Arabidopsis thaliana: one gene and its partners. The protein of the gene in region 1 interacts with the protein of each later gene in a pairwise test. Each region holds a gene or a part of one and is shown on either strand. Other genes may lie near its edges.

Region 1 (9,700 bases):
TTCTTCTAATGTGTCTGTATTTCAAATACATATTTTGTGTCGATTATGTTCTTATAAAAAAAATCATAAGCATCCACACTACTACATCCATCGCCGGTCACCCATGGGAAGCAATGTGACTATAGGAGCATTAGGCTACAAACTTGATCACGAGTCCAATATTTTTCTTTAGAGGGTATTTTTATGTCTAATCAAACTATCAAAGTACTCCTCCTATCTTATAATCCAATATTGGGTCTGACTAATAATACAAATCTGTATAATTTTTTTAGTTGTAAACTGGAATGGTAAACTTTTATGAAGTAATGTAAAATTGTAAGAAAGAGTGGTACATAAAAACTATACCGAAAAACTGAGAGTAAACATTTTAATAACGTTTTTAATAACATTTTTGTGATTGATAATTATCAAAATTATATATCATATTCTACATCGGTACAAAATTACCATTTTGAGCTATTAAAATCACAAGTATTCGTCACTTTTAGGAAAATTCCAAGATTTATTTTACAGTATAATTGTATAGTAAAAACTGAATTTTAAAAGGGAATATAATATATATATATATATATATTTATATTTATTTATTTTTACTTTTAATTTCATACAAAAATTAAGAGGATGCTTGTGCATCTCTTTTTCTCCCATGCTTTCCGTCGGTCGTCAAACTAAATCCTATAACTACTTACAAATTTAGGCTTAGTGAAAAAAAGGTCTATATGATTTTTTTTCTTCTCGGATGACTTCTTTATTTATGTTTTTTTCTTCACGGTCACAAAAAGATATATGAAACTTTATCTTTCTTTTTTTTGGTCAAACATATGAAACTTTATCTTAAGAATTTATATAATACGTTGAAACATTTTTAAGCAGAGGAAGATGCCTATCTATGGTCAGCTCCTACCATGGTCCTAGTACTATGTCTCTGGTTCCACCAACATTATGTATCGTACTATCAGTGCCAGATTCTCTTATTTATGTCTATGGTTTGTGATCTATGCATGTATGTAGGACCTTGTTTATAAGTTGATCTGCATTATTATCCTTTATACTCCAACTTTACACTTATCATCAAGTAATATAAATTTAACCACTGGGATATAAAAATAAAATTTGACTTTGTAAGGAATTATTGAATCATATAAATATATATCTTAATATCAGATCAAAACCATAAACTTTCATGTAATACATTAATGCGATGTCGCTATTCACACATTTAGATCCAAGAAACTTAAAAAGTGGTCCTAAATCGGGACTTTGCTTCACTTACAAGAACAGTACTATTGTTGATGTTCTATGTATATTATTGTAACAGATGATTCAAACTGAATCATTTGCTAAACAACAAATAACCAACTGCTTGAGTACAACTACATAACGTGACAGAGTATATATTGATAAAAACAAATTCAAAAGTTGTAGTTACGTCGATAATCAGCTATTGTTTTAAAAAACAAAACCTTTGAAACAAATAATTGATCTCTGCTAAGGTATAAAGAATCGTAATCAAAATTTTAGTTTACGAATGCGTAGCTAAATCGGAATCATATATTTATTCAGTTGTCATATTCTTGTATGTTCATAATTAATTATTCTTTATGTTAGATTATTTTTTCTCAGATGAGAAGTAATTTTGGTAACAGAACATTTTGTGAATATGTGTTCGAGTTTTCGTTTCTTGGGAAGATGTTTAAAGTCTCTTTCCTTAGTTCAGTTGATTTTTGGTGTTATTTACAACTATGAACAAGTACAGTACATTCCATTGGCATGACTATCCAAATGTCCAACATTTTTTTTGGTTTGTCACGTGTGAGGGATGTGTCTTTAATCAAGTAGTTAAGTCCATCTGATTCCACCGTTTCTATCAGAATTCGATTCTACTAAATCTCGTTACCTCGCGTAGTAAAAATAGACCATATATCGGACAATGTTGATCCAAAGATGTTAAAAGAAAAAGATACCACGTGCCAGAAAAATTACATAAAAAGTTTCAAATCAAATTCACTCAAGCACTAGACTATCAAGGTGTTCACATATCTTACACTATTAATATGTTATTACAAGTAATAAATAAATTTGGGTCGTATACGTTCTCCATCTATGAACATATCAGTTTGTTTGTTAGTCCAGACCTAGAATCAACTTCACTTCGTCAACAATATGGTCATTTAAAGTATGAACCATATGTTGTTCAAAAAAAAAAAAAAGTATGAACCATATGATGGTTGTAATGTTGAAATTACTCTTAACTTTCGTTTAGATTAACCATGATGGTTATAATGTTGAAATTAGTCTGACTTTCGTTTTAAATATAGTTTTGATAGATGTAAGAATTAATTATTTTGTTTGGAATATATATAAGGGTTGTGTATACCAATCGTGAATTGATTGCTAAATAGAAAATCACGTGGTCAAATGCAATCTGTTGTGGTCACAGGAGAGACCACAATAGATTTACATATCATAAGAACCAACACGTATAACTTCTTGAAAATGGCTTAACATTATAACCCGGACCATCTCATAAATCTCCTTCTACCAATCAGTCACTACTTTGTTTGGACCTGTCTCGTCTTGTCTAGTAGTATCGTTGGGTCACATAATTTAGATAAGTATAAAACAATGTGCCTTGAAAACTTTTCTCGTGTAAAAATTATGATTGAATTATCACAAAACTTTTCTCACATTTAGATCCAAAACTCGAATTATTTGCCATAAAAAAAAGATGATATGAAAAAAGAAACAAATAATTCGAGTTTTGGATAGTATCGTTGACAAAACTTTTGGATATACTATACTTCGACTGTCCAAATTCCACACCTTTACCTTTTTTGGAACTAAAAACATAGGTGGGTCACATAAAAAAATTGTAGGGATTACATTTACGTAGACATCCGTAGGTAAAACAATAAGGTAAACATTTTTAAATTTGTATAATACGATATCAATTAAATACGATATGCCTCTCCACTACCACTAGAACGAGTAAATGAGTTTATGGCTAAAAGTCAAGCGGAACTGCGGGAGCCTACCATCTATAATGCATAATGAAAAATAGATCCACGTAGTCAAACAATATCCACTCTTTACATCTACCAAAAATCAATAGTATCCACAAACTATAGAAGTTCACCATATTTACGCTTCATGTTGTAGAACTTGAAATAGATAAGATTCAAAACCCTAATCATATGTGCATGAAGATAATTGATCGTACGCATTAATTAACCAGTTAAGAAGAAAACAAAAGGATTTGATGAGAAAATTAATTCGAGGGACAAGTGCATATGTTGTTGCATCTAATGAAAGGTGTTTATGCAGAGAAGAATTTGTGGTTGGGAAGATGGACAACGAATAAGATGATGAGTATGAAAGATGCTGCGAGATAGGAAAAGGTATTTTCATTTTATGAATATGTATTATATTGGTTTAGAAACGTTATTGAAAATCTAAAAGAGAACAATAATTAAAAAGATAAAAATGAATGAGAATTTGAATGGTGGGAGTCATAGAAACAATGGGTTATTGGGGGAGTGAGGGATGTTGACAAGGCAAAAACATAGCCTTTGAGGGTTTGGTATGTTTATTGCTTCCCCAATTGGATGTGACTTGTCTCACTATCTTCACCGGATTCAATTGAATAGTACTTTGACTAGGGAAGATGTGTTTTCTTGTGGATATAGGTCGGAGATCGAGTTACCCATCAATAAATATCTACTGTTCGTGTTTTTCAGTCATATTCTATGCATTAAATGTTAATAAAATCCGATCTTTCAAGGATTTCAAAAATTAGTATTGTTTGGGTTATTAGATTGTTCTTGCTATCAAGAAAACCAAAAAAAGGAACAAGCAATGTGTCTTTGTTCGACAGTGCACCACCAATCTGAAAATAATTAGACTACTTCTTGGGCAAAACATTTATTTAATTTTTCTATGCTCCTAGAAAGTAGAAACGGCAAATTACGTAGATAAGTAGAAACAAGTTTACCAGAAATCTCCAATGTAGTGCAAGTAGAATTATTCGTTGGGCTCTCGGAACTCGGAAGCTAATGCTAAAATAGTCCATCATGAATGTAGTGCATCTGTTTTACTAATGGTTTGTGCTAATTAATGTTGTTTATATATGATAGGCTTCCGCATAAGTGATGTTGCTTTTTATTTTATTTTTATTACTAAAAAGTTTAGGCCTAGGAACATACGTCCTCTCAAACTAGAGCATTTTATATGGTTTCTTTCCAAATGTCATTACAACTGGTGATTTCTAGGTTTTGTCTTATAGTCTTTAACAATTGAGCTATTAACACTCAGTAAGTAATGTTATTGACATAAAAGAAATGTTTATTTGTAATATGATCAAATTTAACGATATATTATCAACCAAATAGTTTTATAATAATTATTTGAATACTAATAAAAATAAATATAAATGACTGTATATGTCGATAATATTAAATTTACATGATCTTGATTTACTAATACTCAGTTAGATTGTAACTTTTAATATTTTCATCAGATTTGAATATCAACTTTTGCTGGATATTTTAACTTTTTAAGTAAAGTATTCATTATGGTGTTATTAATTAAAAGGATTATGTATCATTGGAATATTTTATTGTATCTAAAATAATAGTCATTTTATTTCCAAAGATTTCCAAAGGATATTATCCCATAACCACAAAACAATGGGTGGTATAGTTTATATAGAGATCGCAAGTAAAATCCATGTGCACTTTTAGCTTATTTAAGTTTTGAACGGCTCATTATATTCTTATTATTTTTGATATCCAATGATTAACTAAAATCAATGATAAGAAATTTGATTATAATACGTCTAAACAAAGAAAATGTAATTGAGCATGCTAATAAATATAGTCACAAAGCCGCACTTTCCGTCGAACAAATTATACGTTCATGTGTGGTTATACTTGAACCACATGATTGGAAGGTTCGGAAGACAAGCTTATTTTAATTTGATTATGCTCTTTAATAATGATTTAATGGACAACTGAACAAGCCCATTTTCCTAAAATTGCCCCATCATTTCCCGGAATTTCAGGACAATGTTGAGAGAAGATGGTCCAAATTGAAGTAAAATATATACTAAGATTGTTATCATTGATTATTTGTTGTACGTCTTAATTAGGATCAAACTTAGTTGGTCATAACTATTTTCACCGATGCTGACTTCGAAAGTTTTAAGAAATATAATTATATGATTAAATCATATAATAATGTTGACCAAATACGATTCACGGAATTTTTACCGCCCAATTTCTGTATACATGTGATGTGATACGTGAAGAGTTGACCAATGGAGGCAACGTCTAACAAATTGGTAGGCAATTAAAAAAGTACATTAATCATAGAAGTGATCAATAAAGACATTACTTAGACATGTTGAAAGAGGTACTCATGTTTTTATAATATCATTTTTATTTACTCGGAATCTTAATATATTTTCATTTTTATTTACTTAACATATTTTGGGCAAACGTATGTTCGTATTTTCAAAACCTAAGAGATGTAACAATATCATTCAACAATCAACGGTCATCACTCATCACCTATACTTTTCAGGTTATTGACATGAAAGAGTGAGATTTACTAAAACAACCTACCAACGTTTAGCAGAAGGCCACGTGTTGAGAACCCACATTGCAAGAAAATGTAGGGATTCCATGCACTACAGCAGATACACAATAGACCTTTGTATTTTAATAGTTAAAGAATTAGAAAAGTCAGACGACTAATCACGGGTTTAAACCGTTTTTTTTCTACCACTATAGTATAGTACTATAGTCTCTTTCTTCGTCCCTTATATTATCGACTCTATCTCCTTACCTCATTCTTGTTCCCCTCTTATCAAACTTCACCCCCAACAAGAGTTATCGAGAGAGAGAGAAAACATATTCTGATTTAAGACATATATAGACAGCAAGAAGAGATATGAACCTTAAGGAGACGGAGCTTTGTCTTGGCCTCCCCGGAGGCACTGAAACCGTTGAAAGTCCGGCCAAGTCGGGTGTTGGGAACAAGAGAGGCTTCTCCGAGACCGTTGATCTCAAACTTAATCTTCAATCTAACAAACAAGGACATGTGGATCTCAACACTAATGGAGCTCCCAAGGAGAAGACCTTCCTTAAAGACCCTTCTAAGCCTCCTGCTAAGTAAGTTCTATTTACACAATTCCTTAAGAAGAAGACCTTCCTTAAAAGGGAAGACTTTTTTTTTTTTTTTTTGAGATAAAAAGACTAATAGTTGATATAAAAGTTCTTAAAATACATATATATGAAAGATGTAAGGATGCATAAGTAATAACGTTATTGAATGTGTGTGTGTGTTGTTATATTCTATGCAGAGCACAAGTGGTGGGTTGGCCACCGGTGAGGAACTACCGGAAAAATGTTATGGCTAATCAGAAGAGCGGCGAAGCAGAGGAGGCAATGAGTAGTGGTGGAGGAACCGTCGCCTTTGTGAAGGTTTCCATGGATGGAGCTCCTTATCTTCGGAAGGTTGACCTCAAGATGTACACCAGCTACAAGGATCTCTCTGATGCCTTGGCCAAAATGTTCAGCTCCTTTACCATGGGTATGCATTTTCAGACATATAAGTCGAATTATCATTATTATTTTTGTGTTTACTTACAATTTTTTCTTTTTAACGATACAGTTTTTTCCATATACGACTAATTAATATGATAAGTTTTGGGATTTTGATTAATTAAGGGAGTTATGGAGCACAAGGGATGATAGATTTCATGAACGAGAGTAAAGTGATGGATCTGTTGAACAGTTCTGAGTATGTTCCAAGCTACGAGGACAAAGATGGTGACTGGATGCTCGTTGGTGATGTCCCCTGGCCGTGAGTTTCCTCATTCTTCTTGCTTTCATTATTATGACCAAAATTATTCTCTAAACAAAAAAAACAATATTCTCTAAAGCATTATTATTGATATTACTTATCAAAAAAATACACAAAATGATAATCAATATCCATGTGTTATAAACACGCACAGCCATCTTTTGGTTGGCATGGGACAGAACTCAGAGACAGAGAAGATGTTTATATATAAATACTAACTCATCAATATGTTACCTCATTTGTAGCTGGCACATATTCTTTCACTTTCAATAGATTTCTAAATTTAGTCACCAACCCAAATCCCGATTTCAGGATGTTTGTCGAGTCATGCAAACGTTTGCGCATAATGAAAGGATCCGAAGCAATTGGACTTGGTAAGTTTTCTTTTCTGTTCGTTTCTATAAGTGGCTCTTTTCTGTTTTTCCAATAATGCTCGTGTTTTTTTTTCAGCTCCAAGAGCAATGGAGAAGTTCAAGAACAGATCATGAACAAAAAAAAAAGAGGACAATATGCATTGATTTTTTTTTTTTGGTATTGTTATGATCATGTGTTTTTAATTTAAAATATTGGAAGTATATAGGAAAATATAATTGTTTACGAAAAAAATAACTTTAAATATGTCTTTTTTTTTTTTTTTGAAATTAGTCTGTGTTTTTGTTTTCATCTCTTAATTAGTAGAAATCATTTTTTAATATGTAATTGTGATAGTAAATCTATAGAGTTCGTATTTTTGCTATTTAAAATTTAAAATGCTAATACTATATATAATTTATGATAGGTAAATTTACGTTAAATAATTTATCTCCACTTTTCCTACTTTATTATTCTTTTCCTCTTTATTTTCTCATTTATTGGCTTTACAGATTATATTTGAAATTTGTAACTATTTTTGATGTATCTAAAAACATTTCACATAACAATTTCTTAAGAAAACTAAGAAAACTGTTGGTATATTTTTTGACTAAAATGGTTTCCAAAAAGATTTTGAAACGAACTAAAATCTTCATTACAAAACCAATTTTAAAACTACAAAACAAATATTCATGGTTTTAAGTTTCTTTTTTCTTTCCTAGTTACGTGGGAATACGTTATTAAATTCAGGACCCATGAGAGGCGTAGGGAACAAGAGCATGTGCATATTCATGGGTCTTTCAAATTCAGTCCATCCTCTTCATGCTAATGTGCCCTTCACCACTAGAAGCATAAAAATTTTCTTTCCTTTTTGGAAAATCTCTCTGTTTCTTTTTTTTCAGTAAAAATTAAGATTTCATTTATAAAAAATATCATAAGGGGTAAAATACATATGCCGGGTAAGAAAAATAACCAGTTCAGAAGTTAAGCCGGCGAGAAAACGGATTTTCTAGAGACAAATACATATACAAAAAGGAAAAATTCCAGAATAAAAAAAACATATTAAAACTGATCCAAAACTTCCCAAACTTATCACTTAAGAACTCAAAAATCTAATACAAATTCTAAATCCAAATTAAAACAAAATATAGATCTGAGATTAGAGATCCATTCAAAGAAAATAAAATCAATATTCTTCTTACCGTAAACGGCGGTGAGACAAACCAACACCCGAAGACCCAAAGGAAAAAAATCTCATAAAGAAAGGAAGGAGATCGAGATCTTCAATGGTGAGAAGTATGCATCTAAGGCGTTGAAGAATCGAATAGATCTACCTCTGGCATGGTTGGAACGACCAGAACTAAAGCTGTAGATGAAGGAGTAAAAAACAAGCAGCAAATCCCGTAGATGAAAGGATTTAGACTTTATTGATCTAGATATGAGAATTTAGATCTTAAACCATTGGAAGAAAATATGATTCAGATCATACCAAAACAAAAAGAAATCAAAACTAAAGAAAGAAAGTAAAGAAACCTCGCTTCCGATGCTGAAAAAAGCCACTGAAACAAGTAATCTTAGGCAGCGGCGGAGAAAGCTTTTTTATAGAGAACATAGAGCTTTTATTTTAAGAGACAGAAAATTTTTTATTAAATCAAAAGTGATTTTTGAAGTGTTTGGAAAATCTCTCATTTTTCCTTCTTTTTTAATATTTTACAGAAAGTTAGTTATTTGACACAATAAATTAAAAATTATTATTAATTTCCCATTAATGAACTGAAGAATTCTAGTTACTCCTACAATGAATGATAGTTTGGATAATTGATGAAATGATTCCGAATTATTCTCCTCCCTAAATGCTTGGCATAACATCAGAATATCTAAACCATTAGTTCTTTAGTTGGTTTTGGTATGGCATAAGGTGAGAATTCCTAAACATGCTTTCGCAGTTTATAACTCTTTATTTTTAACCTCAACCCTACTATTGATAGGATTTTTTTTGAGATGTCATGTTGAACAAACTTGCTTTAATGTGGCATTGAGGGAGAATCTAGGAATTCACCACTTGCACTTAAATTATTCATTTTCAGCTCAAATCTGAAACAAAATTATGGTAAAGTTGTTGCCTACAACCCTACCTATTGAATGATTCCAGCACCATCCGCCTGTCATCAACAACTTCTACAAGCAATGACATCTCCATTGCACTGCTTCAAGCATGTCATGCGTGTGTTTACGAGGTTTGGCATAAGAGTACCACATGCATCCACAACGCCACAACTCTTTTCCAGCTTCGCTCTACTACAAAGTTCTCAATGTTGTGAGAACAGAGCACAAAGCATGGTCCTTCACGACCCAAAAAGGGTAAAAGCTTCTCCTATTGTATTGCTTTGGAATGTTTTGGAGAGATCCTTCCTATACAACTCCTTTTTGGAGTGATTTCTTGAAAGCTCTACTTCGATGGAAGAAGCACTAGCTGTACGAGCTA
Region 2 (9,297 bases), on another chromosome or scaffold:
CATTGTTTACGTTACTTCGTAAAAACATTGTTCACAAATCACAATTAATTATTAAATTTTTTGAAACAACATTCCATAAATTTTTCATGTCATAGCTGATTTTTTTAAAAATGTTTAGTTTCATTAGTATTCTATAAAATGAAGAAAAAAAATGCAAACTGTAGTATAAAATATAACAAGTCCCCAACGAGGCATTCATTAGTCATTCATTTGTATTGTTCTATATCCGAATTTGTAATCGTATCATTGTACTTCTTTGATGTTTCGTCGTTGAAAAAAAAAAATGAAGGAGAAAAGAATTTCTTGTTCCCTTTCTTTCTCAATAACGTTTTATTACTGGATGAAATTTGGCATTTAGTAGCACTTTTACCAACAGGGCCACCCGTGAAACTAAATTCTCACTCTGAGAAACTTCGACATCTATCTTTAACCATTGATTTCACATCAATTTAATACACTAACATACAAATTTAATCTACAACATAATATGAACAATTTTTATTTTTTTGTTTGTCTCTCTACGTAAGAGAGTTTTCTTGCTGTTAAAATTCTAAGTATAATGGTTAATCAGAACTAAACTTGACAAAAAAGAATTGGTAAACCTTATCAAACCGTAGACTTGTAAAAAATAAGCTAAAAGACACACTTTTTAGTGAAGAAAATTTAAGTTGATCATGAAAATGTGGAAGAAATTTTATTTACATTTTTGTTCCTTTTTTTATCATCGATATTGTGGAATGGCTTAAACAAAATGACAACTCTACAAATAAATCGATTCATTCCACCATTACCATTTCAAAAAAAAATGGCAAAAAAAATTGAAATAAGTAAAATCTAGATATCAATTATCTATTGATTTCAATTCTCATTATACGATACATAAATTTATCAACAAAAGAAAATTCAATCTTTTTCCCCAACATGCTAAATGTTTTAGGGCTTGCAAATGACCACAAAGCAAGGAAGCAAAGCTTTAGGATTAAGCAAATAAAGCTCCTCCACATTTGTATACAAACCAACTTTGCCAGCCAAAGAATCAAACCCACTCATCAACCCATTCATCTCCTCCACATTCTCCACCGGCCGATGAACTCTTCCGGCGATAACCCTACACACAATCAACACTTTCCTCACCGTCCGATCAACATCTCCACTCTCATCTCCACCGTTAACCAAAATCGACTCGAACGCTCTTCCACTAGTAGACGCCGTGAAAACACCAACCCCATTATTCTTCTCCCGTTTCGACGAGAACCCGTTTCGTATAATCCGACAGACACAACATTTCTCCGCCGTGCAAACACTTGTTGACCCGTTTATACCTAAACCACAAGCCACGGTGGTTCCGTGGAACCTAAGTAGCTCGTTACCGTCTGCGAGACATCTTGGATGCTTCTTCTGAAGTTTGCTTGCTCTGATTTTAACTGTTTCTCTGTATTCCTCGAATCTAGCTAATGTCTTCTGCATGTTGTGTACTTTTAAAACTCTATCGATTCTTCCACATTGGTTCTCTGACTTTAACCAGCTTGTTCTGCAGATTATCTCCACTATTTTTCTTGATGAATCTCCTTCTACAAGCTCCGTTACTGCAATTTAGATGAAAGTTATATAAATTTGAGAAACTTTGAATCAAACTGCATAATCAAAATCGGAAATTTAGAGTAAATGTTGTTAAAGTTTAACATTTTAGCTTTGAATTGTTAATTGCAAAACTCTGTTTTTTTCAAGACTCTGTTTTTTTCTTTATAAAAGTTGCGATTTTTATAACCTAACTTTTGTTACTATGAAGCCTAAATTGCATAATTTGTTAAATTTACTTACCGGCATGTTTAGAGAGATGATGAGCTTCAGCAGCTTCAAGCTTATTGAACTGTTCACCACATTTATGACAAGAAACAGAGGAATTGTTGCCTCCATTAATGGTGGATTCTCTGTTCATCTCCAATGAAACCCTTCTGTTTGTATGAAACCCTAACCCTTCTCCTCCTCCTCCTCCTCCTCGATCTCTCTCCGACAAAGCAAACGAACCCTTTCTTGTTTGGCTCCTGTAAGAAGCTGAATGGTTAAGATAATGCATCGGTGTTCCTGGTCTAAGCATCCCTACATAAGTCGTAGACCGACCATTTCCTCCACCGCCACCTCCGCCGGAATCCGCTGCTCCGACAGGTGAAGCCATGTCTCCGACACCAGTGATCTTAAGCTCACAAGTTGAGTTACTAAGAATAACTTCATGAGTTATAGGATTTAGAAACTCATTGCTTCCAATAGAACGAGGACTACTTATTGGTGGTTTCTCGAAATGTCTTTTGCTTCCATGGATTACGTCTTTGAGATTTGCTATTGATCTTGAACATCCTGATAAACCACCACCGCATACGGCGGCTCCGCCGGATGATATGCCGGAGATTTTCTTGGTGGAGATTGTGGAGAGGTGTTGTTGCTGTTTAGTGGTGGATATTGGGTCGTGGACATCAGATGGTTCGGATTTACAGTGGAGGGATTTCTTGAGTGAGAACCAAACAGTTGGGATGTTGTTCTTGCTTTTGTTCTTCTTCTTCTTTTGGCTTTTTTTGCTTGAATCTTCCATTGTTGTTGTCGATATCTCTCTCTTTCTTTCTCTCTATCTTCTTCTTCTGAATATTTTTGGAAGTGATGCTATAATAAATATAAATTAAATATTGTCGCCGGATGATAGGTAATAATAAGTGGATTTTGTCTTATGAGATATATTAAAAAACCAAGTTTCTTTTCTTTCTAGAAGGCATGTACGAGCAAATGAATCTGAAGGAGGTCTACGATGTCTCAACTCACCGATGTAATAAGTAATAACACGAGAGAATGTTTCTTTCACTTACTGTTTTGCCATTCTTAAAAGTGTAAAAACTGAAAAGACTTCACAACATGTTCATAAATCATGAAATAGTAATTTATAGACTAGTCCATATTTACGAATTATCACATTAACTGAATATTGGAATCTTTTTAGTGGTAAACTTGATTTAATGCACGGTAATAAGAAAAGAAAAAACAAGCTAAATTTCATGAACTTGCATTCATTAACAAAATTAACATTAGCCATAAATCGTGATTAATTCAATGATTTTGGTTTTTAAAAGATCTTTTTTTCCTATAGTTACCGTGTAGAGAATCTTGAATTCATGTCATACTTCTAAACTTTTGGAATTTCCTTTAACTTTCTCTTACAGAATTTAATTACAGTTAATACGATCATAAATCAATGAGACTGTGCGTGAGCAGGTTCACCGGTCTAATAAGTACTTTTACTCGCAAGAAGAAACAAATATTTTATTTCTAAATTTACCTTTGAGATTATATGGTGAAAGAGTTGATTATTCTTCTATGATGTCTGAAACCTAGTCAGGCTAAAACTACATATGTATTCACTCACTATTCATAAATACGTTAATCCAAGCAATAATGATGACAAATTGTTGGTCAGTGACAACTAAATGAGAATTACTAATGAATTAATAGCATGGCTATAGGAAATAAAATTGAATAAAAGAACATTGATTTCATTTCTTTCTGCTTGCATCTGTCAATTCACTCTTAAATGCCCCATAAGAGCATATGAAACATTCTGACATTTCTTGGAAAGACAGTAATCAATATACATTTTAACAAGCCATTAAAATTTATACTAAACTTCTTATTATTACACCATGCATGTAACTTTATCACTCTAGTTTGATAAATAACAATAGTTGACATAATATGTTTATACGAGCGGACGGTGAAATATAAGATTTATTTGTATAAACGAAAGTAAAACCGCAACGATAGTACATCAATATTTTTGCATTATCTCTGTTCCTAATAAAGTAACACTGTAGTATTTACATCATATCGACTTCAAAACATGAAGGAATGGATGACAATAACAGTTCGTTAATGATCAAAACACAATAACTCTAATCTGAATTGTGAGTTTGTCAAACTTTGAAAGTGCATTTATTACGAATTGTAGATATCGCAAAGGGTAGATAATGGAAGTAGGTGTGGGTGTCGTTATAGCCATATTGAATTCAAAAGGAAAGACATTAAATTAGAAATTGAATTTTGAAACATGTTGATAGATCATGTCCTTCTTCTGGGTTACCCAGTTTTGCCCTAAAACCTAAAACCAACAGGACCATCATTTCGACCACACCACATTGACTGGTCTGCCCCAATCTAGCTATGATATATCTTAATTTCCGTATGACTTGGATCCATAAATATTGAAATAGATTTGGTGAACACAATTTACTCTTAAAACTTCTTCTCTTTCATGCATGTTCTTTTTCTCACTTTAACATTTTTATATAGTGACATTTTTAGTAATCCAACGTTATTTATATGATTAGTAATTCATCAAATTTATATAGTGATAAAATTCCACAATGGTTGTTCAATAAAAATATGAACAACACAATAGAATTAGTAAAAGTGACTATGTTAAATCATTTTCTTCGCTGGGGTTTGGTGGGCGAGTTCTAAACCCATAAGCGGCCCATTTACTTCGTAAACTCAATTCGATTTGTTCAGCGTTCCAAGCCCATAATATTATTTTCAAGGGCATAAAATAAATTGAGGTTTATATGGAAAATTTGGAAATTCCCTCGTCCAGAAGAAACCAACAAAAACTGCAAAAGTTCAAGCGGTGGGAGAAAAAACTTCAGATCGTAGCCATTCATTAAATTATAATCAACGGTTTAAACCTCTTCGATCCGCGTACTCTATTCTTATTGGTCAAATAACTTAATCCTCCAACATATATAAACAACAATCAGATTTCTCTCTGTTAATTTCGTCAAGAAAAAAATTCGATTTTTTTGCGCTCTTTGTGGGTTGTTGTTGTTGAAAATGGCTGGTCGTGGAAAAACTCTTGGATCCGGTGGGGCGAAGAAAGCTACATCTCGGAGTAGCAAAGCCGGTCTTCAATTCCCGGTGGGTCGTATCGCTCGTTTCTTAAAAGCCGGTAAATACGCCGAACGTGTTGGTGCCGGTGCTCCGGTTTATCTCGCCGCCGTTCTCGAATATTTGGCCGCCGAGGTAAAATTACATCGTCTTTTCTCTCTTTCCCATTCCGTTTCCGATCTTATTCGTCTGACTCTGTTTTTGCGTGATCGATTACGAATCTAGGGTTCTTACATTTTCCGAATTTGACATGCAAAAATTGAATTAGATTCGTGTTTGAATTGAATTGTTGTAGTTCTGTAATTGACCTAATTTTGGGTTTGTTCTGATTGGTTGATGGTAATCGAGATCATATGAATCGTTGTAGTTTTCTCGCAAGATTCTAAATTTTTTTCAATTATGGTAACCAATTTGATTTGAGTTGTTAAAGTTCTCAAATTTGGAAAGTTTGATCATGAATTGTGTGTTTTGAATTTGTTCAGGTTCTTGAATTAGCTGGAAACGCAGCAAGAGACAACAAGAAGACACGTATTGTTCCTCGTCACATTCAGCTTGCGGTCAGAAACGATGAGGAGCTAAGCAAGCTTCTTGGAGATGTGACGATTGCTAATGGAGGAGTGATGCCTAACATCCACAATCTCCTTCTCCCTAAGAAGGCTGGTGCTTCAAAGCCTCAGGAAGATTAGGTCTTTTAACACAATGATATAGAACACGTCTCTCTTTTGGCTTTAGATCTAATAACCTAATAACTAGCTAGATGTTTTCACTTTTTGTATCTTTGCTTTTTTTAATTCCTTTAGGGATTTGTTTCTTTCCGTTTCTGTTTCGACATGTTGTTTCTGTTTTTGTGAATATATGAAAGTATTTTGCGAAATATGAATGATAATGTCTTTCAAAAATGCTGATGCCTTATTCAACAAGCAAACACTGCACTTTGTAGAAGTATAAAGATTTTCTTTGTTGTTGATAGTAATAGTACAAGAAAGAAAAAAACACAAAGGATTATTATTCTATGGCCAACAAGATTGAAAAAATATGAAAAGAAAGTATTTCTAAGACTAAATGTGAAAAAAATTGGTACAAGTGAGTGACAGTGTCTATGCCTCTTTAAATTACATCTGAAAAACTCATAATCAGTGACTAAAACCTGACATGTCTTGAGGGTTAATGCCATTACACTCACAGCAGGAAAAGATAAGCTCTCAGCAAAACAGCAGATGAATTATGTCCTAACAGGTAACGAAACCAAAGATTTGTACTTTTTAGTCTGAATCTGAACTAGACTGATCCACGCGTCTCTCTGTAATAGCTGGAAACAGCTTCTGCCTAGGATCTAATGAAGGCGTTTGTCTTGGAGTTTCAGAAGATGCTGAGGCTGTTGAGCCTTGTTTTCTGGCCATCCTTACGGGTCTTCCTCGTGCTTCTCTGACTTCTTTGCAGGATTTATCTAAGATTATCAGAAAATCGCGCACAATCACAAACAAACGCAACCCTTCGTCTTTTCCTGCTTTGCCATGGAAATAGTCCCCTGTACTTTTCACCAAAGCCATTATTCTCTTCTCTTCCTCGAGTATGGACATGATGCTTCCTTCAGCATTTTGAATAAAATCTTCAAGCGCTTCACGAAACCCACTCTCCTCGCCTGAACTTTTCATCTCTGAGTTGACAAAGTCTCGAGCTTTCGACAAAGCATGACCCATTTTAAGAACAGTCCCTGTTAAACCATCGGCATCTATGTTTGCAGATTTCTTTACATGTTCAAGCTCACTGCTCAAGCCTGAAACTTTCTCAAGTCCAAGATTACGGTAATTCTCTTCTGACTCTTCAGAGGTTTCCTCGACTAGGAGATCCTCTGTTTTAACACTTGAGAAACTTTGGCTCTCTCTGATAGTACGAGCCGCTCTTACACCTTCAGTCCTAATTATCTCTTGAACAACAAAGTGGAGGAGCGTTGTTTTCCCATCTGTTCCCTTGACGTCTGCTAATTTCAAAAGAGTGTCCAGCTTGAAAGCTTGAGCACCACCCCTAAATGTACCATCATTCATTCGGTTTCCGGTCTTAAGAACTGCCTCTAAGAGCTTCAGGAACAGCCGACTTCCCCTAAGTTCTTTACAAGCAACCTTTCATATACACCAAAGAATATACGTTTAGATTGGAGAAGAAAGAGTCTTGAGAAAGACTAAGAAACTGTAATATGTTTTTCTTTTCAGAACAAAGTTTTTGTAAAAGATTAGGAAACGTACCTCCAATTTCTGAAATGATTCTTTAACAAAAGCCATTTCTTCATGGAGTGTACACATAAATAGAAGTGCTTCTAGACGCTTGAAAGCAAAAGGGATATCAACGACTGCTTTCAGGAATCGTTCAGCGGATCCCAGTTGAGCTATTTCACCGCAGTATAATCTAAGTTTTAGTTCTTCTTCTGGTGTTGGTGCCATCTTTAACAGAGTCTGAATGAATTCTACAGGAAGCTCATTTCCTAATTCAACGAAAATTATGTTAGCGAACACATAGGAGAATGTTGCCAGAAAATCAAAATCTTATTTTCCACCTAAGGAAAAAGAAAGAAAAGAAGGTTACCTTCGCGAAGTGCATCACACACTTCTTCAGTTGTCGCATTCAAAGCACGCAAAAGAATTGATAGATTTTGTCCTTTCTTTGGTTCGAGGATCTGAACAAACTGAGGTAAAGCAGCTTGTCCAGAGGACCCCTTCTTGTCGTTTTTATTCTTGTCTGCTGCTGCATATCCAAATAACGACTCTATCATCTCTTCATTGAACCTGGAAAACCATCACAAGTTGTATTCAGTAACTATGCCAAAGTTATATGGTTATAGTATACCGAGGCAAAAAGCTAACAACTTTACTCACTGAAAGGATCCTGATCTTATATCATTCCAAACCATTGAATGTTCTGGGTTTGCTTGCACTTTATCCCAGAAAAATGGCTTCAGCTTTGTTTTGGGAGCATCATCATCTAATGCATCTGCTGGCCCAGAAGGCGGTCGGGGTGCTTTTGGGCCCAGACTCATTGGTGGAGGCGGACGTGGTCCTTTTGGTCCAGGAGGAGGTGGTGGCTTAGGCCCACCAGAACCAGGTGGCGGAGCTGGAGGGGGCGGTCGTGGAGGACCAGCAGAAGATGGCATTTGCGGTGCTGGAACTGGCGGTGGAGGAGCAGAAGCCTTTTTCGAGGATACCTTAAGAAATTTGGGTGGTTCCGGTGGAAGAGGCTCCACTTTTCCAGAAAAAGACTTCCCTGAAAGTACAGAAGCTGTTCTTCCAGGTGGAGGCTTCAAAGGTGGAAGCCCGTGATTGGTAATACTATTATTTCTCAGGCCTTCGTGTGATAGCCGTTCTTCTAACGAATCTGAAGTGTCAGAGTTACTTCCATCGAAAGATGACATTTTTCCTTGGTTTGAGTAAATATTAAAAGATTGATGACCCTGCTTATCTCCTTTGACCGAACCACCATAGTTGATGGAGGAACCTGAAAACATTAAAAAACATTTTAGTCTCTATAGTTCAAGAAATTTCTTGTTAGATTAGTACAGTGAGAAAGTGGAGATATTATTACCAACAGAGTAATCACTACTGCTTAAACTGAGAAGAGGCCTTTCATCGTTTTTCCTGCCTCCTGAACCATTTCCACAAACCCTGGAGCAGCATAAGAAGAATAATGCAGCCAACAAAAACGTAGAAACTGCAGTCACAACAACAGCAATGATGATTGTTTTCTCATGATCCTCTTTTTTTTTCGCAGGTGAAACAGGTGCAGAAGTTGAATTTTTAGAAGCGTTTTTCTTAGCAGGAGGAGGAGGGGGAGATCTTGATGGTGGAAAAGATGATTTCCGAGGAGGTGGGGATTTTGGTCGAGTAGGTGGGCGCGGAGGCCCCCGACTACGCTTAGGAGGGCGGGAAGGTGAAGGGGAAGGGGAAGAGCCGGGTTTAGTAGCTAGATTTCTCCTCGGAATATCAAGCATAGATGATAAGAGCTCCAGATACTTGGGGTTATGACCATTTAACTTTCCTTTTTCTTGGATACAATCAAGAAGAGTCTGCTTCAGATTGGTATGGTTCAAACCAAATAGTTCCCTACTATCCTTTGATCCTGGAAAACATAAATTGAATTCTGCCACAGCTTCCTTCACACAATCTGAATCTTGCCAACAACGCTGCGCCCATGATGTTTCTTCCTGTCAAACATTGTACAAACAAGAGAGAAACAACTATAAGAGCTATAAAACATTTTGAAAAGCATATCAGTAAATAAGAGAGAGCCAACTATAATTCCAAGTATGATTACAAATGGCGAATCCAAACTATTTTGCAAGAATCGTTCTGAGATGATCTTAGCTTTCTTATAGAGAACATGAATCAA
Region 3 (12,501 bases), on another chromosome or scaffold:
AATTCTATCTAGTTCAGTATTATGATAAGATTCTTTTAAAGATCACTATTTTATGCATACTTTAATAAACATGCCCGTATTATATTATCATCGGTAAAATAATTTTAATTGGAGATATTATCTGAAACAACTACCATTTCACTATTTTTGGATGACATTTACATTCTACATAGATAAGTTGAATATTTCATATTAATTACTATATAATTGATATTTTGTGTAATTTAAGAGAATCTGGCTTCAAATTATCAAAAAATAATAAAGTCATTCAAATAATTTTTATCAATCCATCAAATGAGATAGGGGAGCTATAAATATTATTGGAAATAAGATATCACCATTTTATCATAAATATATGTTATTATCAGTAACAAATTTATCGCCAATAACAATAGAGGAATGTATTCCATTATTATTTTAAAAACAGAGTTAGTAAGTAATGTAACGGCATATATCTATTGTCAATTTATCAGAAATAATAATGAATTTGGAATGGTCTTCATATTCTATATAACGGTCCAAACAAAATAATTCTATCTTAAAGCTCTCAAAATTATAGTGTTATCTCATGGTATCCGTTTTTGACGATTTTCATTTTTTCTGTATTTATCACATAAATAACTAAGTTTTCTATATTCATAAAGGAACATTATTTAGTGCAAAATTCATAAACTCATTTCATCCGATAAACAATATATCGAATGTTTTTCCTTGAATCTAATCTTTTATAATATACTCTCTTAAAATAAATATATAAATAAACTATTTTTAGATGATAATTACATCATATAAAGGTTAGTGTGTATATATATATAAAGAGAGAAGGATATATGTGTATGGAACACAAAGAAATAGTTCATAGTCATGCCGGGCTTAATCATATATATATCTCAAACCTATCACAATTGTGGCCGAGTTGCTAGAATCACATAACAATTTTATCATAAATATTTTTCATTAGTGATAACAAATCAATCGCTAATAACGTAAGAAAAATATGTTCTATCTAAAAAGTAGCAAAGAATATGATTGCATAAATAATGTAACGGAGTATATTTGTTACAACAATTGCTAAAAAAATCATACAATCATTTTATCATAAATAGTTTTCATTATCGATAATAGATCAATCACCAATAACGAGAGAATACATAAGAAGACCCTTTAACAAAAAAAAACGAGAGAATACATGTTTTACTTTAGAAAATAGCGACAAATAATTTCAGATAACAATATAACGATTTTTTAATATATTAAAATATGAGATTAAGTTTAGAATATTAAACAATTAACGAAAATGATGTATCAGTAAATCAAAAACATATTGACCATATTACGCTTGTTACTTGTTAGTAATTTTTTTTACGCCGCCATTTTTGTTGCTATATTTAAAAAAAATATTCCAATAATATTACTATTAGATATGAAAAGATCACTACTAATTAAAGGTGGATCTTTCTGGCAGATTTGGATACATTGTACAAATGAAATGAGAAGATAATAGTCAAATAAATTTGTATTGCATACCATATATTGATTGAATATTAAGATTATGAAATGTTACAAAAATAGTAAAATTCAAATTCAAATAAAAATATAATAAATCAAAGTTGAAATTTACTCATAGACAACTCAAATATTAATTATTTGGTTTGTAATATTCTGCTATAAATACATGAGCATTTTCATTCTACAAACACCAATCCTATATTTTAGCTTCTCAAATATCACTAAAAATGGTGAAAAAAAGCAAAGGTCGTCAAAAAATAGAGATGGTCAAAATGAAAAATGAAAGTAACCTTCAAGTTACTTTTTCAAAAAGAAGATCTGGACTTTTCAAAAAGGCTAGTGAGCTTTGCACACTTTGTGGTGCAGAAGTGGCCATAGTTGTGTTCTCACCTGGTCGAAAAGTCTTTTCTTTTGGTCATCCAAATGTTGATTCTGTAATTGATCGATTCATAAACAATAACCCTCTACCTCCTCACCAACACAACAACATGCAACTTAGAGAAACTCGTCGAAATTCGATTGTTCAGGATCTGAATAATCATCTTACTCAGGTAATCTTACTCTTATTTTTAAGTATGATTAAAACAAAATAGTGTTTTCTATGAATCATAAAACCCAAATTTCTATGGTTAAATTCTTTTTTTATTTAATATATATAAGTAAAAGTTTTCGCAGGTGAATAAATAATATATAAAAAACATTAGACAGTCTTTTTCTCCATAACTAGAATAGATTTATATCCTAATAGTATGTTAGATAAAAATGCCGATGAAATGTTATAGAATCATATGGTATGAAAATTAATAATATTATTGGTGTTTTTATTTGTATATATATTTGCAGGTGTTGAGTCAATTAGAAACAGAGAAAAAGAAGTACGACGAGTTAAAGAAAATAAGAGAAAAGACAAAAGCCCTTGGGAATTGGTGGGAAGATCCCGTTGAGGAACTTGCGTTATCTCAACTCGAGGGGTTCAAAGGTAATCTTGAAAATTTGAAGAAAGTAGTTACAGTCGAAGCTTCCAGATTTTTTCAGGCAAATGTTCCAAACTTCTATGTGGGAAGTTCTAGTAATAATGCTGCTTTTGGGATTGATGATGGTAGTCATATCAACCCTGATATGGATCTCTTTAGCCAAAGAAGAATGATGGACATAAATGCCTTCAACTACAACCAGAACCAAATTCACCCTAATCATGCATTACCACCCTTTGGAAACAATGCTTATGGTATTAATGAAGGGTTTGTTCCAGAATACAATGTGAACTTCAGACCAGAGTATAACCCAAACCAAAACCAAATCCAAAACCAAAATCAAGTTCAAATCCAAATCCAAAACCAGAGTTTTAAGAGAGAAAACATCTCTGAATATGAACATCATCATGGTTATCCTCCCCAGTCTAGATCTGATTACTATTAACCCTTTGTTGTGTGATCCAACTTAAGTCTCTAGACAAAAAGTTGTGTGTTTAGGTTATCTTTATTTCTTCTTATTTATGTTTCTACATGTGTTGTTGTTGTTTTTCTTGTTCTTGTTTAAGTATTATGTTGTATTGTGTTGTTTCATTTCAAAATTATGTTATTGCTATATATAAATTATATGTGTCGGAAACAAATGCATTACGCCTCTGAAAATACTAGTCTGCCATGGTTACGTTTACGCATTTTGGGCAATTGCAGAATTTTAAACACAGAAAGGTAATAATCATAATCAATCATGTACTATTTTAAAATAAATTTGCAAAAAAGCATAATGAAAATTTCTGTGTGCACCATTTTTCAACTAAAATAGTACATACATTATCCCACATATTTTGGTACATTGTAAAAAATGAAATGACAGCATTACAATGGCTTTCCCTCTAATTTCATTCCTTATAATGATGAAATACAGATATTGTGAAATATTCCTAAAATGATAAAAATCTAATTCTAATATAGAAAATATAATAAAATTAATGTTAAATTTAAGGAAAATATAATAAAATTAAGGTTAACTTTTAGTTGAAAAAAAGGCTAAATCTATGTCACATCATTCTATTTAATTAATCCGTGCAGTATACTCTAATATTTATTTTCCTTAAAAAAGATTAAATCATCATCAAATATCTAGTATGTATTAGATATCAATCTAAAAATAAATAAAAAAATTGTAAGAACAATACAAGAGTATCCACATATGTAAGAACTTAAGAAATGAAATTTTCAAAATCAAGCAAAATACTTCAAAACTAATATATATATTGTAATTTTGAAAACCTTAAAATCCAATGGCATGCTTTACACATCCCATAAACTCACATATCTCTCGAGTAAAACGGTACACATGAGACATCCATGGAGACCAGAAGAAACACAAACAAACACATAAATGGATTCAAAGACAAAGATAAAGTTGAAGTTCTTTTGTGAGCAAAACACACTTTAAAACATAGGAAATAAGCTTCTTTATGGGTATCAAACCCTAGTGATTGTAGGAGAAGAATCAGGCTGGCTCACAGAAGATGACTTTGATGCTTCCATCATGAGAGCAGCTTGCTCTAAACAACTCTTGTTATCGTCATTCGCATTCTCCACTTCCTCTTTCGTGTATAAGTGTATCTTCCACACCACATTGCAGAAATCACTATCCATAGCAGAAAGCCAATTTCAAGTTAGGAGAAAAGAAGTTGTGATTGACCTTTAGAAGGTATGTATAAAGAACTTACTGCCATGGATCATCGCCAACGACCATCATATCGTTCTCACTATCAGTATATAAGATCCTCCATCCTTTTTCAGGATCCCTGAGAAGCCCTTCCATGTTGAACAGCCGTTCAAGCTCCATAAGGAGATCATCATACCCGTTAAGTCGCGACAAATCAATAGCTCTCCCCACTTGGCTTCCTTGCTTGTGAACCTTTTGATAACAATTCAACACAAGAACTGATTAGAAGAGACATCTAAAACTGCAACTCAAAGTAGCCAAAGAGATGATAAAGAAAACGTTTTACCTTTGTACAGATTCTTTTGCTCGAGCTTTGCGGCTTAGATGCAGGTGTCTCCACTGGTAAGGAGAATCCGAAAAGTTTACATCCTGATGAAGCATTCATATTCAACTCACTGCCTTTCTGTTTTCCCATCATATCAATCTTGAATGGCAAATCAGCTGTAACATTATTTGGTAGGCCACCTTCATTTTGTGCATCAAACTTTCTAGTCTCTTCACCAAAGTTTATTGCACGTGAAGGGGGACCCGAGGATTGGTTTCCCGCATTGTATGGATTCTGATACGGAACATGAGTGCTCCTAATCCCATGCAAAGCTAGCGGATAGTAACTTGACTTGTTGGCTTGGTAAGCAAAGGGATTAGGAGCAGCAGCTGGACTGAAACCAGCAAATTGCGGGAATGATTTAAGCGAGCAAATTTCTTGACCTTGCAAGACCCTTGGAAACCTATCCAGGTCCATAACACCTGAACAAGCTGGGTTCACGCCAGTAGCATCTACAAACTCACCAAATCGATCCTTGACTCTACTCGACACAAGAACTGGATTTGCATGAGACTGCATCGCAAAATCCAGTATCCGGCGGTTCATAACATCAAACCCCTGTGAGGGTGATGCAGAACCTATATTTTCTTGACCTTGCAAGACCTTAGAGGGTCTAACCGACTCCTCAAAGTCCAAAAAACCACCCCTTTCTGCTGCAACCAAGAACAGTTATCAATAATATACTGATGAAAATTGAGAACTGTTTGCAAAAGCATATACTCCAAAGAGAAGAGAGGTCTATATAATTTACTTGTTATGGGGTTTCCGGGTGGGGTAGTATCCAGTAAACCTGCCCATGGCCTTTTAGGCCTTGGAGATGACTGAATGCTCAAGTGTGGGAGAGAAACCGAGGGATCAATCTCCCAAGGTGAAACTCTTTCTTGATGATCACTCACAAAAGACTCATCCCATCGCACCTGCCAAACAAATGTGAAAGATTTAGATATCAATCTTCGAAAATGAAAAGTCTTCTACACGTTAATAGACAGATACTCCAAAAAGATGAGAGGACGCACCAACAAGCACCTCCATTTAGAGTTTGGCCACCTATACGGGTCCAAGTCACAGACTCCAGTCACTACACCAGCGCATCTGCAAGAAAGATCGAATATAAATTCTCGTCCAACAATATTAGCTACACAACACAGAGAAAGAAGCAAGAAAGAAACAATACCTTCTCTCAGGAGAATCGTCCATTTCAAATCGCATTCTAAATCTTGTGCCTATGCAAACAGGACTCCTGATGCTTGTGATATACTTCTCATAAGGAATCACAAACTCTGCATGCGTCGCTCTGTATATAAATCCACAAATCAACATTATAGTTCTTTATTTCTTACTGAACCTAGTTAAGAATCATTACGAATGGCAGCTTTTCATTTTTATCTCACCGTGGACTGTAGAACACATGAAACATGCTTTTTGTAGATACAGCATTAGCCACAAGAGACAGAATGTTTGAACATGAATTCTTCTCAATGATTGAGTCAGGAAGTCCATTTCTTGGCCGTGCTGCTCTTCTGATTCCTAATCTCAGCTCTCCTCCTTCGTCTCTATAAACGCCGATATTAGTAATGAATGTAAACATTATTGGATCAAGGGCTTCAAACCACCAAAGCAGAGGGAAACACCATGAATCTACATCACCATTTGATAAACTGAAATCTTACGATTACCTCAGAAAGAGAACCGCATCACCAGAGACGAGATTCTTTTGACTGACAAAGATACTCCAACCAGTGGTGAGTAGATGCCTCCTTGGTTGACCTATATTAAAAAGAGACAGAACTAAACATTTTGGTTTCACTGACGAAGAAAAAAGAAACGAATAATAACAAACTCAAAACCACCTCTATAGATATGGCGAAACTTCCACTCTACTCCATGGAGGTCCTTTGCAATGAGCTCTTGAGATGGCCTCTGTTGTTTGTAGTCCTAACACCAGTGGAAAATTCACAAATAAGGCTTATAACAAGAAGATAAAACCTCTCCTTAAAAAAAAAAATAAGGAAATGAGATATAGAGAATTATACAAGAGGAGCAAAACAATCTTCAGCGGCTCTTCTAGGTACAGAGAAGCCTCCATGTGTGCTTGTGTCAGACGCTGTTAAGGTTTTACAGAACATATGAGGTGTCCGCTTGACGGATGAGCTTCCGTTCCTCTCTTCCTCCCCTCCTAACTCCTTGACCTCTTTCCCCTCCCCATTTAGCATCGAAAACTATAAAAACCAAGAAGTTACTTCAGCATCTTAACATCACAGAGATTATAAATGAAACTCAACAAGACCAACGGTTTCAGTGATTCCTCTGATCCTGTTAAACCAATGATGAGTTTGAGTCACTTAGAGAACAAACAAGATTATTCACAATCTCTTTAAACCGTAGCATCTAAAATCACACCTAGAATCTGGAATTACACTAGTGATATCAAAAATCAATTGAATTGTCAAAAAAGCAACAAGTTTGAGTAAAAGAGAGTACCTCTTGAAGTGGAAGCAGAGTGACTTGAGTGTAGACCTCATCGGTGTCCTTATTAGCCTTTTGTTTCCCCAAAAGAAGGAACCAAGTTTGCAAACAATTACCACAATTAGAGAAAGAAAACAGAACTTGTTCAAGAATAGTAAAATAGAACACAAAAGGAATGTTCTTTATTTGGGTAGAGTGATACAGACAGACTTACAAGCAACTGGACATTAACCACCCTGCAGACGATTTGGGGATTAAGGTCAAATTTGGGGATTTCAAGAGGAGACGAATATGAAACCATAGCATCTTGCTCCAAATGACCTTGAGGGAAATAGACAACTACATTGCCTTTCTTGGGAAGACAAGTGAGAGGACCAGCACAAGCATGCCAAAGCTCAGAGTAAATGGAAGATGCAGAGCCTGTAGAAGATGATGACGATGATGATCCGGAAGAGCATGAAGAAGAAGAAGATGGTGAAATTCCAAGCCTACCCTTGTCAATTCTTGTTCCTCCTCCTACTCCTACTCCTACATCATCATTCTCCTCCTCTTCCACCTCCGCAATCTCAGTATTCAAGTCAAATTCCATTGAAAAAGCTTCTCTTTTAAGAGCAAAAGGAGACAAGAAGAAAACAAAAAGTTTCTATTTTTAATCAGATTACAACAAAACAAGTAAAACCCATCAAAGGAAAGTTTGCAAAATTCGAGCTTTGAAGTGACAGAATTCGGAATTCCTCTCCTTTTTCAGCTAAATTTCACAAAGAAGAGGCAAACTTAGCTATTGACGGGAAAGATGAGTCATAAGTGTGGAATAACGAATCAGAGACAGAGAGAGAAGAAGAGAGAGGAAGGAGGAATCAAATGAGAACAAGGGTTTCAGAGAAGGATTCTTCTTCCTCCATTTGCAGGTACTGAGAAGAGGGAGCACAAGGAACAGACATAGACTAAAATTTGCAGATTGGAAAAAAATATACTTTTTAAAGAGCAAAAAAAAAACAATTTAGTGGAAAGAGAGAGAGAGAGAGAAAGAGAGGGAGAGATAAGCGGGGGAGACAAAGCCAAGACAGAACAGAACCCACACCTACACTCTCCCTTTCTCCTTCTTCTTCTTCTTCCTCTTCTTCTCTCTTTTTTGTTTTTGTTTCCCAATAAAGACTTATTTATTCACATGAAATTTTATATATAAAAACTATATTTGTGTCAATATACACACGTTTACACAAAATAAAAGTTTTCACTTTTTTGCTAATTATTACCGTTTTTGATTTTCGTCCTTTTTGTTGAAAGAAGAAATGTTAAAAGTTTAATTAGGTGCTAATAAGACTAATTCAATCCATTGTCTAGATTGTTTTCTTCAAAATCAACTGTTTTTTAAATACGTCAAACCATCGATGAATCAATCGTTTAATTATTCATACTAGACTATTCACTCAAAATGAACCATCAAAGTTTATATGCATCTATTGGATTTATGGTATTACGAAATTGACGTAACCCTTTGTTTTTCTCATTCACACCATAATTTTCTTTAACTTGTGTGAGTTGTGAGGAATAAAAACCGCAAATTGATTAGCTTTTTCTTTGCATACTCTTACAAAGGAAACAGTATCTCTTTGGAATCTTTCTTTGTTCTTTCTTTTTTTATGTTATGAATTTTTATTTGTTTTCGATTTATTAGAAAAAATGCTTTTTCATTGCGTTGTTAAGAGCCAACCAACCGGCTAAAGACAGAAGAGTAGGCTCCTTTCGATTTTGTAACAAAAGCACTTTTTCTCTCTTTTTCTGAGACAAACAATATGAAAATCAGCATTTTGTTATTGATTAACTAAAGTACTGTCTGTGTTTAAAAACCTAATCAACTAAAAAAAACTTTCAGCGGTCTGTAATATAAAATTTATACTTCAATAACCACACCGACTCTTTCAGTAAAATAAAACTACTCAAATACTTACTACTTATTGGATAAATATCTTCAAATGGGTTTAGTAAAAATAAATAAAATATATTTGATGGTCCAAATGATTGCTTCATAATTTGAAAACATTTATATATACATTTTTGCAGTCATTTTAGCAAATAAATCTTAGAGTTGAACTTATTTACAACCCAATGCCATTAGCATTAAATCTTTTTTTCAAAATAATTAATTTTACTTTAAATTTTTAATTTAAATTGTCAATCACATTATCAATCAAATTTAATCCAAACAAACTTCACATCAATCCCTTAAAATTAGCATAAACGTATTTTATTAACAAAATTTTTTGTTTAAATAAATATTGTTCTTACTAAATATTTTTTGTTTAAATAAACAAATCATGTATTTGAACTTATTTACAATGTCATGCTACTGACATTAATTATTTAGGCATGAAAATATTTATTTAAAGATTTAAATCTTTTAAATTTTGCTTTTAGAGTTATTATATCATTTACCTAAAAGGCAAAAAATATTAATTTTTTAAATATTATTATTTGTATATTTAAACTTCATAAAACATTATTAATATTTGAATTTATAAAAAGTTTAATCTATCAAAAATAATTAACATCATTATATAATATATAAAGTTTAAAAAAATCTCAAAAAAAATTTCGTCATATTTTGTAATTCGAAATTTTAAGAATGAACATATATTAACCAATTGGCGAAAAATGTGTGGGTACAACGTCCCGCAACGACTAAAATATTTTGACAATGATTCATAAACATATTATAAATAAGATCAACATTAATAAAATAAATAGTTTTTTTTTGTGGACGGGTTTGGCAGGACGGGTTTGGCAGGACGTTACTTAGTAACAATGGTAAACTATAAAATAATTTACAAATTTTTATATATATTAATTTTTAAAAATGAACTGTGTCCGCGGTGTACCGCGGGTTAAAATCTAGTAACATGTATTTTTGCTCATATAATATTAGTTTGCTACTAATTCATATAACCTGATCAAAGTATCATATTATGTTTTGTATATTCCTTTCACAATTTCGCAACTTACTTAATTATCTACTTTTAAAAACATTTGATTATGAGTAATAACCTTTCGTAACTTCATTGGAGAAGAAAAAAAAGAATAAGAAAAGAAGAAAACAAAAAGGATGATGGGATGGGAGAAGGAGAAAGAATGAGTCTCTTCTTCAGAAGTTGTGAGTTAGTGACTGAGTCCCAACAACTAACAAAGACCCCCTTGATATTTGCTGCCTCTTTGGCCCCCACCTTCTTTATTGTTTTTCTTACATTTTTCATGCAACATACTCCTTCTAAAACTAGCTTAATATTCTCACTTTTTTTCTTTAGTACTTCTGATTAGAAATATATATCTTGTTTATTCTGATGTTGCACCATAATTCGAAACGTGTAATCTCTTATTCTTAATGATATGATTACCATATTCTTCTGTCTGCTGATCATAACTTTTAGTCAAAGATTATCTTTTTTTAATTAGTACTAAAAAGAAAGAGTGGATCGTATCTCATTTTCATGTTTCTTAATTTCCTAACTAAAATAATATTTTACTAAGAAAGTCGATTTTGTACAATTTTAGAAAAGACATCTAATTTGATTATATTGTGAGAAGTCCCACGGTTGAATTTTATGATGTGAGTTAGTTTTGGACCAAAAACTCAATATATATAATTATATACACGTAAATTTGTCAAAATACAACACATAAAGCAATATAGCTCTGAAAATAATAGAATTATAGAAATAAAGATTCCACTTAAATTTGTTTGTGACTTTCTCCTGCTGAAAGTAATTAAGCATCCATTTGAAGAAATGAGCCACTTGGATGCTTTGACTCTCCACTCAAAGTAAGCTTGTGTTTATAAAAAAAAACCTAAGCATATATTCATCCTCTATTTGTATTTATCTCGTCTTTTACATGCCTCCATTTTTTTTTCTTATCCTCCTTTTTTTTTTTTGGTAAAACTCTTATCCTCCCTTTCTTACGGTACAAGCCATCACGCTCGGTTCTGATTTTCTTCTTCTCTCTGTTTCAGTTTCGTTTCATGCGGCATACATGTAAATTACTAAATTGTAGAGATCATAACGTTCAATTTATCGAGTTTTATTTCTGAAAATATTATATTTTCTTTTTTGTACCGAGGTTTCAAAATATTCATGTTTTTTTATGTGTGGAAAGAATAGCACATATCCATAGCCATATTTGTTGCCTGATTTCTTTTGACCAAGTTGATTGAATTAGCCTATGGATATTTGTTGTTCTTTTCAAATATATGGCAATTTTTCTTTGTACTATATTTTTAATATGTATTTTTTGAGTTTACGAGATTCCTGCATGTACATACTATATAAATTTGGCGTAATTTGTAATAAGAATCAATATATAATGAAATCATACTGTTTTTTATAATATTGATATTTAAGTAGAGATGGTTTTATTAAAAATAGAAGAAAAAAGTTTATTGTTTGGCAGAGCAAAAAAAAAAAAGGAAAAAGACAGAGGTGGATAATTAGGAGACGTCGTGTCAAAAATATTGTCGCGAGAAAACGACAAAGCAACGCCAATGACTTTATTAAAGTCACAAGTGTCTGTATCATTCGATTAAAGACACTCCTCTCTCTCTCTCTCCCTCTCATTTTTTTTTGTAATACTATTTTTACTTTCTTTTTTTTTAACATGTTTGTAGTTAATTGCGGTTCCGGAATAACCACACACAGAGAGAATTAGTTACAGTCATTTTAAAAATCCAATAAAAATCTATGCACGGTATTCTTGAAATTGTGTTTTATGAAGGGAAACTAATTAAAAAGTTCATTTTCAGAAATTTTAATAGAACTACATAGCCAAGAAAATTAAAAACAGGTTGAGTAGAATTCATAAATCAAACTTGTGATAAGAAAAGTAGGCCCATCAAAAAAAAGAATTGTAGAGACAAATGGTATCCCATAAGGAGAAAGCAATTTGTCAAATTGGAGCCTACATTAAAAGTTGGGCCCCTATTTTAACTTTTTCAACTCTTTTTTTTTGGTTTAAAGTTTATTAAAAAAAAAAACAGACCAAAACGATTAGAGTGAAAATTGAAGCTTGTCAAACTAAACTCTATAATCCTCGATCCTCGTTGTAAACCATTCACAATAATAAGTAATCTCATCATCGTTAGATATCAGTCCTCGATGATGTTATTTTGCCAACACAATTATAAAGATCAGAAACCAAATTCTATGTTGATTTAGAGTTGAACAGAGTTGGTGTCATCATGTTACAATTACAATTGTTACTAGGGTCTATTGTTGTTACATAATATTGGTTGATATCGAATTATGGCATGATTTTAGTTATCATAATGTTGGGGCTTGGGAGTTGGGAGTGAACCGACTCTCTAATGGGCCTGCGATTTCCTTTCTATAAGTGTTGGGTCTTAGGTGTGATCATAATTATTATGACCCGGATCTTTAATGGGCCTTCTATTTCCGTTCTATCAGTATTGGGGCTTAGGACTTATCATAACTATGATCCGAATCTCT

The links.
Region 2: the proteins of IAA14 (region 1) and RAT5 interact in a two-hybrid assay, tested with the Arabidopsis thaliana proteins (one large-scale study listed by BioGRID).
Region 3: the proteins of IAA14 (region 1) and ARF4 interact in a two-hybrid assay, tested with the Arabidopsis thaliana proteins (one large-scale study listed by BioGRID).

Annotation. Positions count from the first base shown.
Region 1 is NC_003075.7:8,346,173-8,355,872, reverse strand, and holds IAA14 (indole-3-acetic acid inducible 14), read left to right. Parts: upstream 1-5,609; 5' UTR 5,610-5,949; coding exon 5,950-6,170; intron 6,171-6,361; coding exon 6,362-6,591; coding exon of another isoform or gene 6,592-6,692; intron 6,693-6,728; coding exon 6,729-6,864; coding exon of another isoform or gene 6,865-6,868; intron 6,869-7,176; coding exon 7,177-7,294; downstream 7,295-9,700. UniProt on the Arabidopsis thaliana protein: Aux/IAA proteins are short-lived transcriptional factors that function as repressors of early auxin response genes at low auxin concentrations.
Region 2 is NC_003076.8:22,191,674-22,200,970, forward strand, and holds RAT5 (Histone superfamily protein), read left to right. Parts: upstream 1-4,613; 5' UTR 4,614-4,866; coding exon 4,867-5,055; intron 5,056-5,402; coding exon 5,403-5,606; 3' UTR 5,607-5,819; downstream 5,820-9,297. Other genes in the region: AT5G54630 (zinc finger protein-like protein), read right to left, coding at 934-1,586, 1,822-2,587; Fh5 (formin homology5), read right to left, coding at 6,183-7,040, 7,164-7,399, 7,501-7,700, 7,791-8,406, 8,494-9,112. UniProt on the Arabidopsis thaliana protein: Core component of nucleosome. Nucleosomes wrap and compact DNA into chromatin, limiting DNA accessibility to the cellular machineries which require DNA as a template.
Region 3 is NC_003076.8:24,304,593-24,317,093, forward strand, and holds ARF4 (auxin response factor 4), read right to left. Parts: upstream 8,193-12,501; 5' UTR 7,596-8,192; coding exon 7,221-7,595; intron 7,079-7,220; coding exon 7,022-7,078; intron 6,760-7,021; coding exon 6,574-6,759; intron 6,476-6,573; coding exon 6,391-6,475; intron 6,308-6,390; coding exon 6,217-6,307; intron 6,094-6,216; coding exon 5,932-6,093; intron 5,835-5,931; coding exon 5,715-5,834; intron 5,633-5,714; coding exon 5,557-5,632; intron 5,458-5,556; coding exon 5,292-5,457; intron 5,191-5,291; coding exon 4,502-5,190; intron 4,408-4,501; coding exon 4,217-4,407; intron 4,135-4,216; coding exon 3,966-4,134; 3' UTR 3,663-3,965; downstream 1-3,662. Other genes in the region: AGL62 (AGAMOUS-like 62), read left to right, coding at 1,737-2,060, 2,353-2,928. UniProt on the Arabidopsis thaliana protein: Auxin response factors (ARFs) are transcriptional factors that bind specifically to the DNA sequence 5'-TGTCTC-3' found in the auxin-responsive promoter elements (AuxREs). Could act as transcriptional activator or repressor.